Saccharomyces cerevisiae S288C: one gene and its partners. The gene in region 2 interacts genetically with the main gene of each other region. Each region holds a gene or a part of one and is shown on either strand. Other genes may lie near its edges. The genes, in order: PDB1, MGM101, MIC19 and ISC1.

Region 1 (3,647 bases), on a different chromosome or scaffold from region 2:
AAATTCCCAGTGATGTAAACGAGGTCTCCTTTGCTAAAGATTTCAGTAGAAACGGTACGGTACCGAAGGCCAATCCTACAGGTATGCCTTGAGCCAAATATAACATAATTAAAAGATAAAATTGCGGCAAATCATGCTTGGCTAGTGACCCGCTCTTTCGCTTAGGTTCCATGCCTACTTTTGTTTTATCCCCCTATAACTATGGTATATTATACTGCCTCACCAAACGTTTAGGTCTTGCTTCTGCTTCCCACAGTAGCTTACGCATTATAGCCGATTTATTTTTCACTTATTTTCGCATGCCAGAGTATCTTTATTTTCTTTCTTTCATTCAGCCTGTCGTCGAAAAGAAAAAAAAGAAAATAAATATGTGCGTATTCTAACCATGAAACAGGAACTCATTCAATGTGCACAGTACTTATCTCATTCAATTTTGTAAAAACAAAATATATACATTGTATGTATGTGTGTATTTGCAGTTATATATCTACTAATAACCAGTACGCCATACATGTCTTGATTAGCAAAATATTATTTATGTTTTTCTCATTAGTACTATTTCCGCGAAGAGGGTAGAAAGTGTAGGGTACAGGGAAAAAAGTTCCCTATCTCCTTCTTTCTCTCCTTCCTATTGGATTGAAGTTTATTTATTCAATTGACAAGACTTCTTTGACAGCTTTAACGATGGTTGGAGTATCAGGGAAAGCGAAATCTTCTAATTCTTTAGCGTAAGGTGTTGGAACATCGGCACCAGTAACTCTTTGGATTGGAGCATCCAAGTAATCAAAGGCTTCAGACTCCATAACTTGGGCGACAATTTCAGCACCAACACCAAATGATGGGAAAGTGGATTCAACAGTAATCAAGTGGTTTGTCTTCTTGACAGTTTTGATGATAGCTTCAGTATCTAAAGGTCTAATAGAACGCAAGTTGATAACTTCTGCAGAGACACCATATTTCTTTTGTAGAATTTCAGCGGCTTCCAAAGAAAACTGAACGTTTCTTGTGTACGTAACAATGGAAATATCGGTACCTTCTCTTTCGATCTTAGCCTTGTATGGCAAGGTGAACTCAGGGGATAAAGCTTCTTCTGAGATTTCAAAAGATTCACCGTACAACAATTCGTTCTCTAAAAATACAACAGGGTTTGGATCTCTGATGGCGGCCTTTAACAAACCCCTAGCATCTTCAGCAGAATAAGGGACAAGGACCTTTAACCCTGGAATGGAACCGTACCAAGGAGAAAAGTCCTGTGAATGTTGAGCACCAACACCCACTGCAGCACCATTAGGACCTCTGAAGACCATTTGACATTTTTGAGTACCACCAGACATGTAGTGAGTCTTTGCAGCGGAATTGACAACATGATCGATAGCTTGCATAGAGAAATTGAACGACATAAACTCTACAATTGGCTTCAAACCCTTCAAAGCGGCACCAACGGCCAAACCTGTGAACCCGTATTCGGTAATAGGTGTGTCAACCACACGACGTTCACCGAACCTGTCCAATAAACCCTTTGACACCTTATAAGCCCCGTTATATTGTGCAACTTCTTCACCAATAAGGAAGACATCATCATCACGGTCCAATTCTTCCGCCATGGCACTATTCAAGGCCTCTCTGACGGTCATCGTCTTTGTTGATGAGAATCTCAATGCTGCTGCTGCTGCAGAGGGTCTTACAAAAGAAGTTGGGGCACGACGTGCAACATTTCTGGCCAATGATGTTGGCAGTCTGGAAAACATGTTGAACAAAATTATTGCAAAAGTAAAAGAACTTACTAAACTGCGATCGATTATCAATGAACAAACACAGGAACTGTTATGAGGGAGGCGGAATTTAACGTCCGAGTGTGTAAATGATACTAAATTAGTCTAACAAAAGGAAGAAACTTGACAGAGATAATATCAAGAGTCGCTGTTGCAATCGTTAACCTGTATATGTAGATACACCTCTTTTTATTGCAAACGTGCAAACGCATGACTTTTAATGACGGAGAACTTCTTAGTTGAAGACTCGTCTCTTTTGCATGTTCTCCCACTTCGAAGTCTCGGAAAACAGACCCCGGAAACAGCCGCGACGAAAAAGAATCAGCTTAGGCATGATAAATACTGTGGTTTCATTAGATAGATAAAATACATAAGTATTGGCGTATATAAACGGGTGCCAGATAGAAGCTTTCAGAGAGCATAAAATTGTACAGGATACTGCCTACAACTTACTCTTATTTCTGCTGCTCTTAGCAAAAGTTTCTGCGATAACTCTTCTCTGGATTTTACCTGTAGCGGTTTTTGGTAGCTTATCAACAAAGTACACCTTGGTTGGAATTTTGAAAGAGGCTAGGTGCTTCTTTAAGAAGTTCACCAGTTCTTCGTAGGTCATTTTTTCTCCCTTCTTCAAAACAATGGCGGCTTGAACTACTTGGCCGTACATATCGTCGGGAACACCAAATGCAACGGCTTCATCGATCTTTGGATGCGATAGCATAATGCCGTCGAGCTCAATGGGTGAAATCTTTTCACCACCCCTGTTGATAAGCTCTTTGATTCTGCCTGTAAGGACCAAAAACCCCTCAGGGTCGAAATAACCTTGGTCACCGGTTCTGAAATAGTTCTCTCTCTTGGTGAAGTTCTCCTTGTTAGCTTTTGGATTATTAGCATACCCCAAAGTGACGTTTTCGCCTCTGATGGAAACTTCGCCGACTTTGCCCGGGGGCAAGACATTGTCATTGTCATCTAGAATGACGACGGTGACTCCTTGTGGCTGGCCCACAGTACCAGGCTTTCTCTTTCCTGGAGGCAGATTGTTTGAGGTCATTTGATGTGATGCTTCGGTCATCGCATAGGCCTCCAAGACAGGTGCATTGAATTCCTTCTCCAGCTTATGGAACGTTGCTGGAGCCAAAGCAGAAGAACACGATCTGATGAATCTAATGTGTGGGAAAGGGTTTGGTTTGGGCATGTTCAGCATAATCATGCTTATTGTGGGAACGCAACTGAACCAATTACAGTTGTACTTAACAAATTGGTCCCAGAATAACTTTGGATGGAATCCATCGGGAACCACAACAGAACCCTGAGTTCTAAAAGTGGAAAGTAAAACACCAATTAACCCATGGACGTGGAAAAGAGGCATCACGACATAAGATCTGTCCAAGGGCGTTAGCTTGTAAGTGTTAGCAATGTTCAACGTGCTTCTCACAATGTTCAAATGTAACAAAGGCACCGTTTTTGGAGTGGAGGTGGTACCACTGGTATGCAAAATCAGGGCAACGTCACTGGAACGGGCAAACCCAGGGAATTTAACGGGATTTGTGTTGACAAATTTGGCGTTGTTCAAAGACCGGTAAATAACCCTTTTGTAGTTGTCCTCTGGAGAGTATATATCATACTCTACCCTAAACCTGGTCGCATCGAAGGCCAGCTCTACGATAAAACATCCAAACGTGGAGGCAGATTTTAGAATTTCAGAACTCTGTAACTTTGTGGTACCCTTTGGGACGCAAATCGCCTTAGATTTCAGGTCATTCAAATAAAAATTGAACTCCTTTTCCTTATAATTGGGATTCAAGGGCGCGCCAATTTTAGCGTCCATAGTAGCACCGAGGAAAGCGACGATAAATTCCAGCCCATTACGCATGGATA
Region 2 (3,562 bases):
GGTTCAGAGGCAAATGGATGCTCTGATGATAGTTTATTGTTATGTTCGAACATAGATTTTTGAGTTTCAATCCATTTCTTCAAGAATGGTAATGGCTTAACAACCTTCGGAATATATACCTTCCGAACCTCGTCCAGGTTAACAATTTCATCAACAACCCAGTTATTTGAAGGATCAATAACTTTTTTGTTACCATTAATTTCTTGTTGTTGGAACCCCCAATCCGGTAACAACTCGTCGTTGTGAGTCCACAAAGCTACGGAGGTATCAACGTGGAAAAGACGGAAAGAAACCGTTTTACTCTTTAAAACGTGACCTTCATCTGATTTTTTCAGTGGTTGGAATGCAAAAAGTGTTTCAGGATATAATTCCCCATCACCTTCTTCTAAAGTTACTGTAGTGATTTCTTCATTGGTAGGGTAAAATGGGGAGGCGACATCATGGGCTAACAAGTAGGTATCGGTGGCTACATGTCTCAATCTTATATGCTGGTTCAATAGAACAGCTTGTCCTTTACCGACATCACTGCCATGGGGTGGTAACACTTCCCATTGATTGTTGAAGTCAGGATGCGTGTAACCAGTAACTTGTTGACCAGCGGATGAGATACGACCATCTTCATACCGTTGTGGGTAACGTGCCAAGTGAGAATGTAAGAATGCGTCAGTATCTTGATGTTTGATAGTGATAATATCAAAATAATTGACGGTTTTAGAGTCAACACTTAAGGGAGAGTCCTTAAGTGTTTCTTGAAATTCAGCAGACATAAATGCGTCGCCAGGACCTGAAGTATTCAAAACGGTGAAATGAACCCAGAACCAAAACAAGTAAATCACAAATGGAATCAAAACTAAACCATTCAGCCTTTTACTAAAATGTCTCATGAACTGCCTCAAGGACAAACCCGCCTTGATGTCCAGTAATTGCCATAAGTTGACCACAGCAGCAAAACCAATAGCGGAATATGTCATAACACCAACATATTTTGTGGAAATCACGAAGGATAAAGACAAACCAGTAGCGTGTAACCAAATATACCAACTCCATGTAAAAGGTTGACGCAATTGGCACTTGTAGAAACGAACGTAACAATACATAGTAGCAGCAATAGAAATAATCAAGATGGCATCCAGTAAAATCAGCCTAGTTTCTGTAACATGCGCAGTATCGATTGCAACCAAGAGAGATGCAAACGCACATGTAATAGCCCTGAAATTCAGTTCCTTCAAAGTGTTGAACATAATTGGTACAGTCAATGTGCCCAATATCGCGTTGAAAGAACGGTACGCGATATATGGAGCTGGATGAGTTTCATAAGAATACCCAATCTCATCAAACTTAAAGGAACCATCATAGCCACATAACCAACCAATGAAGGCAATCATCATCTTAGCAAAAGGGGGATGAACGTCAAAGAAATAAGACCTTTCTAAGTAATACGATGCAAATTTCCCGAAATGTACCTCATCAAAAACAACTTCTTTTGGATACCAGATCTTATAAAATCTAGCAGCAAACGCTAATAAGGTAACAATTGTTACCCAAAAGCTATAACGTGATTCCGGTTCCGGTAGTGGCTGCAAGAGCCAATGTTCAGCAACTTGTTCACATTTAGGCGCGGCCTTCGTGTACTTCAACGAAGGATCGTCTACGTCCTTAGTGGAAGGTGGTAACTTCCCATGGTTACGTTTTTTGGGCACAGACATCTGTACTTCTGTGGACTGTCAGAAAATATCTTGGTAAAATATGTATCGACAAACTTCTTAGTACAGTTAATATAGAAGTAAGGATTCGAGTGAGTAGTTTTGATAAAGCGCGTTTCATTATGCATATTTTTCATTTTTTATTTTTTTTGTCAAGAAATACACGAATAACATCACGAAATTTATCGACAGAATAATGGAAGAAACTATTTAAAAAGACGGTAGAGACTAAAAAAGGAAAGAAAGGACAAGTAGGAAGATCAGCGTACGATGAAAAGCATTTTCAAGGTTAGAGGATGTGTATCGCATGCTGCTCAATTTTGCCAAAAAAGAACCGTGGTGAGTACCGGCACTAGTAACACCGCAACAGCCGGTGCAGTGAGGAAAAGTTTCAACAGTACCGAAACCAAGCCTGTATTTGCAACAAAATCGGAAGCTGGCAATGGAAGCCACATGAAGGAATATTCAAGCGGCATTAACTCTAAACTCGGCGGGACCCCTTTGGAAACCCGCAGCACCGCCGATGATTCTTTGAACAATAGTTATAAGCAAGTCAAGGGAGACATTGACTGGTATACTTCATGGTATGGCCTAGGTATGAAGCCCTTTGAAGCAAAAGTGCAAAAGGATCTAATCGAGCCTCTGGACCCTAAGGATATAGAAATCAAGCCAGATGGTTTGATATACTTGCCTGAAATTAAATACCGTAGAATACTGAACAAAGCTTTTGGCGCAGGCGGTTGGGGGCTAGTGCCAAGATCACAAACAATAGTGACATCCAAGCTGGTCACTAGGGAGTACGGTCTTATTTGCCATGGTCAATTGATCAGTGTGGCAAGAGGCGAACAAGACTATTTCAACGAAGCCGGCATACCAACTGCTACAGAAGGTTGCAAAAGTAATGCATTAATGAGGTGTTGCAAAGATCTCGGCGTCGGTTCTGAATTATGGGACCCTGTTTTCATAAAGAAATTCAAAGTGGATCATTGTACTGAGAAGTTTGTGGAACATGTTACCACCAAGAGAAAGAAGAAAATTTGGTTAAGAAAGGACAGACAAGTTGAATATCCTTATAAATAGTCAATATGCGAACCATATAAGCTAATTTTAGTAAGTATATATATTCCAATACAATCACACACACACACACACACACACACACACACACATACGCATATATTGTGGTAGTGCGTAGTGTCAGTACGTCTTATCATACGCCTTCTATTTCAGGGTTAGCGTATTTTTACTATCAATATTACAATACGGATATATATACACACACCTAATATATATATTATACGTTATATTACTGCCAGTCGAAAAAGGAAGATACGATGTATTATTTTAAAATTCAATTTCTAATAAACATTAATGGAGATATACAAAAGAAGAAAATAATTAAGTTGTTATGAAATTTATAAACCTTGTTGAGCTCTTCTTCTGTCACGTTCTTCAGCAATAGACAACTTGATACCCTTACCCTTTGGCAAAGAAATGTAAGGCTTACCTTGTTCACCGATGACGAAGACATTGTTCAATCTAGTGACGAAAGTGTTGTCCAAGGAGTCCTTGATGTGAACTAAATCGAAACCACCATCGTGTCTTTCCTTGTGAACGATAGTACCGATACGACCCAAGTTACGACCACCAGTAACGTAAACCAACTTACCGGCATCGAACTTGATGAAATCAGTAATCTTACCAGAGGCCAAGTCGATCTTAACAGTGTCATTGACCTTGATGTTTGGGTCTGGGTATCTGATAGTTCTACCATCGTGGGTAACAACGTATGGAACACCCTTCTTACCTAATTGAACCTTCTTGACCTTACCCAACTTGTAAGAAGCTTCTTCATCGGT
Region 3 (3,270 bases), on a different chromosome or scaffold from region 2:
TATGAGACACAAGTGGCTCTTAACGAAAGTGAAAAAGATCAATGGCTCGAAGAGTATAAGAAACATTTTCCTCCAAACTTGGAAAAAGGTGAAAACCCATCTTGTGTTTATAACTTGATCGGTGTCATTACACATCAAGGTGCCAATTCTGAGTCTGGACACTATCAAGCTTTCATAAGGGACGAACTGGACGAAAATAAATGGTACAAATTTAATGATGATAAAGTTAGCGTTGTTGAAAAGGAAAAAATTGAATCTTTAGCCGGTGGGGGCGAAAGTGATAGTGCACTGATCTTAATGTATAAAGGATTTGGTCTGTAAGTCCATTTTTCATTTTTTCAAAATTAATAGTTTTTTCGGAATATACATATACATTTTTTTACATACACATAAAAATATTTCTCTCCCTTTTACGTTCATCCGCCAATCGATAAAAATGCATTTTATATACATGAAATGGCGAATTCTTTTTGGTCGAGTTTATGTATACTTTTTCTTATTCAACCCATAACGAGCTTCTTGAATTCTTCCATCTCTTCGTAACAATTCAATGGCTTGCCCTTATTGGCCAAAAGACACTCAGTCAATTTTGCCTTTATAGAAATGCTGCCGTTGTCGGTTTTTTTATCAGATTTACCTTTGGCACCCCCATATTTCTCCAACTTTTGTAACTCTAATTGATCAAATAATGTTAGTTTCTTGTTCAACGACTCGATTTGATTATTCAATGAACTTGATGATATTCCATCAACGGCATCCTTGTCGTCGTCTGATAATAGTGAATTGTTCAAAGTATCTTCAAACTTCTTTAACGTTTCAACTTCTAGGTTAGATAGCCTTTGTGAAACCTTCTTCTCAATGAACTTTTCTGCATTTTGCTTGGTGACATAGTCTGATTCCTTCGATGAATCCAATTGAGAAACCAAAGACTGTGAAAAATCGATCTGTGTTAGCGGAGTATAGACTTGTTGTTTTTCTGCACCAGCACCCACTTTGGAAGTGTTTGAACCCATGATTGACTCTGTATTAGTCGATATACCACCTTGTTTTTGTTCTTGAATTTTTTTTTGATTAGCAATCTCTTTGAAATGTTCCTCCTCACTTGTTTTTTCCTCTGCGTCTCATTGGAAGAAGAAATATATATATATGCGACATACCACGAATATTCGTAGTTTTTTACAACAAAAACGACTCTCGGTAGCCAAGTTGGTTTAAGGCGCAAGACTGTAATTTACCACTACGAAATCTTGAGATCGGGCGTTCGACTCGCCCCCGGGAGATATTTTTTTAAATCTTGCAGCTTTCAATATTTAAATATAAGTAATAAACCATCAGTTAAACAACAGAACAAGTATTTCTTAAATCTCATGAAAAATCTAATAATGTTATTTGCCGAATTTTATTATTGATTTGGTTGGTCTTCTTGATAATTCTGTGGGCGCTTTTTTTGTGACATATTAAAATTGCGAAATTGCAAACGAAAATATAAATATATATGAATGTTAATAAATAAATTATTTAATTGATGATTGAGGATGAAATACACTTTTATGATCTGTCCTTACGCGTAATAATTACAAGAAGGTGAGAAAATTGCCTTTTTTTGCTAATTTTTTTTTTTTGGTACCATATTCAATAATTGATGCTAAATTATAAATTGATTTTATTGTTTTCCTCTTTCCTACAATTAATCTCTTTTTCTGGCTTTATGATATGTTGTTTAACTTCACCAATAATTAGAAACTGGGGGCTGGCTCAAGCTGCTGGAGTTTCATATGGTACCTTTGGTTACTGTAAAACTTTGAATTCTTTTTCCTGCTCTCGAGTACGTTTAATATATAACACCTCGAAAGAAATATTACCTGGCCCTTCTCTTGAACGTTGGTGGCTGAGTCCTAAGGCAAGACATACAATAGGAGGACTTTTGATTTCGATACCGGTTGCTACATGTTTGACTTTCATTTCTTTTGCACTTCCCTTGGTTATTATTTTTCTTTTTCAGACTGGAGGAACTAATGTCTCACTTATTACTTCCAACGCTATATTACACATATTGACACTTTTATCAACTATTTTTGCATGCACCGTGATCCTGTTACTTTGCATGCACCGTGATCCTGTTACAATTTCATCCTTATACGACTTGGTGTGGCTGGCTAACTGTTCCCTGTTCCCTCTGCTCGTTATTGGCGTGCATTTTCTCAGTTTTAGGTTTGATACGTCTGCGCAGTCAGACAGAAAACATAGCTAAAGAAGCTAGTATAGAGAACGTAGACAGTATTCTCAAACTATATGGAACGAGTCAAACATCAAGTTCCCTTGGCGAAAATTATCCACAAACAACTAAGGGCACAGACCAATCTGTGTATGACATCACAAGTCTTTTTAATGATCTACCAAGGACCTTAGATCCCAATCAAGATAAACTGGCGGTAACAAATCAAGATGAACCACCGCCTGAAATCAAATCTCCATTGAAGCAAGCAGGTTTGGTGAGTTTCTTCGCTCCAAAGTTGAATGGTAAACAAATATTTTCTAGAAGGCATGTTGAAAATCAAAAATCCTTATCTTTGGATGAAATCAATATAACCGACTTACCTGCAAAGCAAGAAAATGTGGAAATGCCTACTGAAAAAAAAAAGGCAAATATTTTATATTATGAGGGAATCTCAAGCCATTCACAAGATAACTACGACCCTCCTTGGTTATTTGGCGTTGAGGCTACCCAATCAGCCGATTGCTTTAAAATATATTCAAAAAAAAATCATTGTCTCACAGAGCCCCGCCAATATCAACTACAACAACCAAATAATTACCAGGATCAAAGTGAGGTTCCTCATAACTCTTTCATTCCTTGGTATTCCCGAAGAAGACCAGTAGGATACAACCACAATTACAATCGCTACTACTCACAGACAACTCATGGTAACAGCGAACACTCCCGACAAACATTGCCACAGACCTACAACATACACAGCATGCTCCCCAGAAAGTACAAGCCCGCCTACAAAAAACAGGCACATCGTGTGAAGAGTAATCCACAACCAGCTTATACTTTCCAATGACAAAATAACAAGAATAAAGTACTATCCAATCTGCTTTTTTTGTACGCGTTTTGTTGGCGCGCCGCAATTTGAAAAATAAGAATAAAGTACTTCTTGCTACTATTTAATGATTCCATCCGTATTCCACATCGTTGACGTCTGAGTCTGATAGACTAGTATATAGAAAATAAAAATAAGATAGAGTAAATAGTATGCTACTTTTATC
Region 4 (3,892 bases), on a different chromosome or scaffold from region 2:
TGTTTCCTTATTGAAGAGCTTTGCTCTGGATTTTCCAACATTAAACATGCCGCCGAGGCCTCCTCCACCACCACCATTGGCATTTGGTGGTGAACTATTTATTTTTCTGGTTATGAAGTAAAGGCCACCAAGCAGAATGATGGTGGGCAGGAAGGGGAACAAAAATGTGAAGGGAGAAGATCTCTCAATGTATTTGATGGGGATACGATCCCGAGGAGGAATGTTCAAGAGGTCCTGGATCTGGTCCATCTGTTCCTCAAAAATATCTACTGAACCAATGGTGAACGATACAACTTGCTTTGTATTGACTAATTCGGCCTCTACGAGAAACTTATTAACGACGTAAATCTTGGACACAAGACCCTTCTCCAGGTATTTTGTTTTGAAATCCTGGAAAGTCAAGACGCGGTTAGAGTCGTCTCCTGAGTTGTTACTGGAAGGTGTGAGCAAAGTAAATATAATTGTGAATCCGATGGTCAAAAACATCGTATTAGCAAATTCCTTAGATCTGAAGTATTCTGATAATGAACCAAACTCATTTCTTTTGTCTTTGCCATCTTCTTTATTGCTATTATTATCTTTATTACCATTGTTCTTGCCCTCACCCTCTTTGTTTGGCCTATTTTCATTTAACCTTGTCCATGAGATATGGAAGGAACGTATTTGGGTAGAACGGTGTATTGTGTTTCTGGTTGCCAGACCAGATAACGTCTGCAAACGCTGGTGAACTGGCATGCGCGAGCGAAGCACTGGCTTCACTGTTGATATGCGGCTAGCTTTACCAAATGAGAGTGATGTCAATGAGCGTGGCGCACCCCTTGCATATCGTTGCCACATCATCATCACTTAGTATATTATAAAATAAGTGGATGATGCCTTTATTTGAAGACTGCGTTAATCTCCTTTAATATAGAATGGGTCCTTGTAAAAGTTATGTATAGACAGTAAGAACCAATTTATTCCTCATCTAAATCATAGGCCCAGAATAAACTGAACAGATGCGTATAAAGGCGTTATAAAGATGCCAGAAGCATATCGCGGGCCACGACTAAAAATGCCGCGAGGTCGCCCTGGACGGTAAGCACGTGCTCAAGTGTTGCCCGACTCTTGGGGTCCAGCGCCGGGTGAGAGTTTCCGATCACGTGGTCTCCGTGCATCGCGACTTCGATCCAGCAGCGTGAATCATCGCCGAATACGAAACGTACGTCATGCACATCGCTGGCTCCGGGTAGTACACGAAGCTGCAACAGCCGTTCGTACAGTGCGACCTCTGCGGCATCGTTACCCGACTGCGCAGCCCAACGTGCGCGTAATTGGACACACTCTTTACCACGCTGTTGCAGCAGCGAGTCCAGCTCGCGCGATTGGGCTGCTAAGGTCGACTGCCGTCTAGATAACTCAGATTCACGCTCGTGATAGCTTCTCCACTGCTCTCTGGTGGTATTTGTAGCTTGTTGGGCCGCATGTATTTGTTGCTGCAGAGCGGTGCGCTGGGTGGCAAGCCGTTGCAGTTCATCTATGAGATGTTGGTGTTGGTTATGTAATTGACGCATTTCCGCTTGGAACTGTTGCAGCTGTTGGCGCGCGTGGTTTTGCTGACGTGCCAGTACCTGGGCCACGTCCTTTTGGAACCCGTCCATCCGGCGCTCAAGGTCCGAAAATGCGTCTATGCTGGCCATTCTTGTATGTGTGTATGTGTTGTATACGTATGAGCGGTTTTAATTGAATCGGCTTAGCCTGTTTTTGTTTTTGTTTTTGTTTTGTTTTGGTTTGGTTTGATTTATTTTGGTTTGGCTTAAATCTTCGAGGAAATTTGCGCTTTCCGCGTAAAAAGGGAAAAAAAGCAGATATATGTACAACAGAAAAGACAGAGATGTTCACGAGAGGAAGGAAGATGGTCAATCTGAGTTTGAAGCACTGAACGGGACCAACGCAATTATGTCCGATAATAGTAAAGCGTATTCCATAAAGTTTCTGACCTTCAATACATGGGGGTTAAAATACGTCTCCAAACACCGTAAAGAAAGACTCAGAGCAATTGCTGATAAATTGGCGGGCCACTCAATGCTTACGCCAATATCTGACGAGTTGTTGCCCAATGGTGGAGATAGTAATGAAAACGAAGATTACGACGTGATTGCCTTACAAGAAATCTGGTGTGTGGAAGACTGGAAGTATCTAGCTTCTGCGTGTGCCTCCAAGTATCCGTATCAGCGTTTGTTCCATTCTGGTATTCTGACGGGGCCTGGGTTGGCCATACTGTCCAAGGTCCCGATAGAGTCGACCTTTCTTTACCGGTTCCCGATAAACGGTAGACCGAGTGCGGTGTTCCGTGGCGACTGGTACGTAGGGAAATCTATAGCAATCACCGTATTGAACACAGGAACCCGCCCCATTGCAATAATGAACAGTCACATGCACGCCCCATACGCCAAGCAGGGTGATGCCGCCTACTTGTGCCACAGATCTTGTCAGGCCTGGGATTTCAGCAGGCTCATTAAGCTTTACAGGCAGGCCGGTTATGCGGTGATTGTGGTGGGTGACTTAAACTCCAGACCGGGCTCACTGCCCCACAAATTTCTCACGCAGGAGGCCGGCCTGGTCGACTCCTGGGAGCAATTGCATGGGAAGCAAGACTTGGCGGTGATCGCTCGTCTGTCTCCATTGCAACAATTGCTTAAGGGCTGTACCACGTGCGATTCGCTGCTCAACACATGGAGGGCCCAAAGACAACCCGATGAGGCATGCAGGTTGGATTATGCTCTTATCGACCCTGATTTCTTGCAAACAGTAGACGCAGGTGTCAGGTTCACTGAACGGATCCCTCACCTGGACTGCAGTGTCTCTGACCATTTTGCATACTCATGCACCCTTAACATCGTCCCACAGGGCACAGAGTCCCGTCCATCCACCTCCGTTAAGCGTGCGAAGACTCATGATAGAGAGCTGATCTTGCAGAGATACTCCAACTACGAAACCATGATAGAATGCATCCACACGTACTTGAAGACAGCCCAAAGACAGAAATTTTTCCGTGGCCTACATTTCTGGGCCTCAATACTTCTCCTAATAGCGTCGTTGGTCGTGACAACGTTTACTGCAAACAAGGCAGGCTGGTCCTCCATCTTCTGGGTCCTTTTCGCTATTGCTGTCTCCATCTCGGGCACCATCGACGGTGCCATCTCCTTCTTGTTTGGCAGGTCTGAAATCAGAGCCCTCATCGAAGTCGAACAAGAGGTTCTGGACGCGGAGCACCACCTGCAAACTTTCTTGAGCGAGAAATGATATTATCGATTTTCTTTAGCATATGTAAAAAAATTACTGATATTATATAATGTGTGTAAATTTCGTCAATAGATGCAAAGCAATCACGGAGAAGATGAAACCGACAGATAGGAACAATACGACAAGGGAGTCGACTCTGAATCCATTGGCTTCGTCCGTATATAACTTCAAAATTGAGCTTGAAGACCCACCGTAACCAGCCTGTCTGGTGGAAGTGGGCGTTTGTTTTGCTTGCTTTTCCTTAATGGATTGTGCCTGTCTTCTCTTCTGCAAGATACGCTGACCTCCTGGTGGAACTGAAGCTGCCATTCTTATGATACTGTTGATCGATAATACCACCTGTTTTATGCTTTGCGCCCCTTACCTTTTCTCACACGCACATATATCTACTCTCTCATACCTCTTATATCTAAAATGTCTCTTTTGGCCAGTTAGTAACTGAATGAAAAAGTGAAAATGGAGGAAAAAAAAAAAGACGAAATCCAAAAGGCTAAGGAAACGGGTAACCCGTGGTACCCGGGGCAGAATCAAACTTATAATTACTAAAGATATACCATATATTACGATCCCTGCGCCCGGCGTGCTCCACATTAAGTAAATGTCTGGA

What was found.
Region 1: mutations in MGM101 (region 2) and PDB1 together harm fitness more than expected from each alone (negative genetic interaction), as found in Saccharomyces cerevisiae (2 studies listed by BioGRID).
Region 3: mutations in MGM101 (region 2) and MIC19 together harm fitness more than expected from each alone (negative genetic interaction), as found in Saccharomyces cerevisiae (2 studies listed by BioGRID).
Region 4: mutations in MGM101 (region 2) and ISC1 together harm fitness less than expected from each alone (positive genetic interaction), as found in Saccharomyces cerevisiae (2 studies listed by BioGRID).

What each region holds. Positions count from the first base shown.
Region 1 is NC_001134.8:664,506-668,152, forward strand, and holds PDB1 (pyruvate dehydrogenase (acetyl-transferring) subunit E1 beta), read right to left. Parts: upstream 1,749-3,647; coding exon 648-1,748; downstream 1-647. Other genes in the region: YBR220C (uncharacterized protein), read right to left, coding at 1-172; YBR221W-A (uncharacterized protein), read left to right, coding at 2,033-2,137; PCS60 (Pcs60p), read right to left, coding at 2,215-3,647. UniProt on the Saccharomyces cerevisiae protein: The pyruvate dehydrogenase complex catalyzes the overall conversion of pyruvate to acetyl-CoA and CO(2).
Region 2 is NC_001142.9:698,909-702,470, forward strand, and holds MGM101 (Mgm101p), read left to right. Parts: upstream 1-1,973; coding exon 1,974-2,783; downstream 2,784-3,562. Other genes in the region: PMT4 (dolichyl-phosphate-mannose-protein mannosyltransferase), read right to left, coding at 1-1,706; 40S ribosomal protein eS4 RPS4A, read right to left, coding at 3,119-3,562. UniProt on the Saccharomyces cerevisiae protein: Performs an essential function in the repair of oxidatively damaged mtDNA that is required for the maintenance of the mitochondrial genome. Binds to DNA.
Region 3 is NC_001138.5:166,246-169,515, forward strand, and holds MIC19 (Mic19p), read right to left. Parts: upstream 1,014-3,270; coding exon 501-1,013; downstream 1-500. Other genes in the region: ubiquitin-specific protease UBP6, read left to right, coding at 1-321; DCV1 (Dcv1p), read left to right, coding at 1,643-2,251; YFR012W-A (uncharacterized protein), read left to right, coding at 2,979-3,065.
Region 4 is NC_001137.3:190,946-194,837, forward strand, and holds ISC1 (inositol phosphosphingolipid phospholipase), read left to right. Parts: upstream 1-1,851; coding exon 1,852-3,285; downstream 3,286-3,892. Other genes in the region: AAA family ATPase AFG3, read right to left, coding at 1-843; kinetochore-associated Ndc80 complex subunit SPC25, read right to left, coding at 1,014-1,679; Arf family guanine nucleotide exchange factor SBH2, read right to left, coding at 3,328-3,594. UniProt on the Saccharomyces cerevisiae protein: Responsible for the hydrolysis of the phosphosphingolipids (IPS), inositol phosphorylceramide (IPC), mannosylinositol phosphorylceramide (MIPC), and mannosyldiinositol phosphorylceramide (M(IP)2C).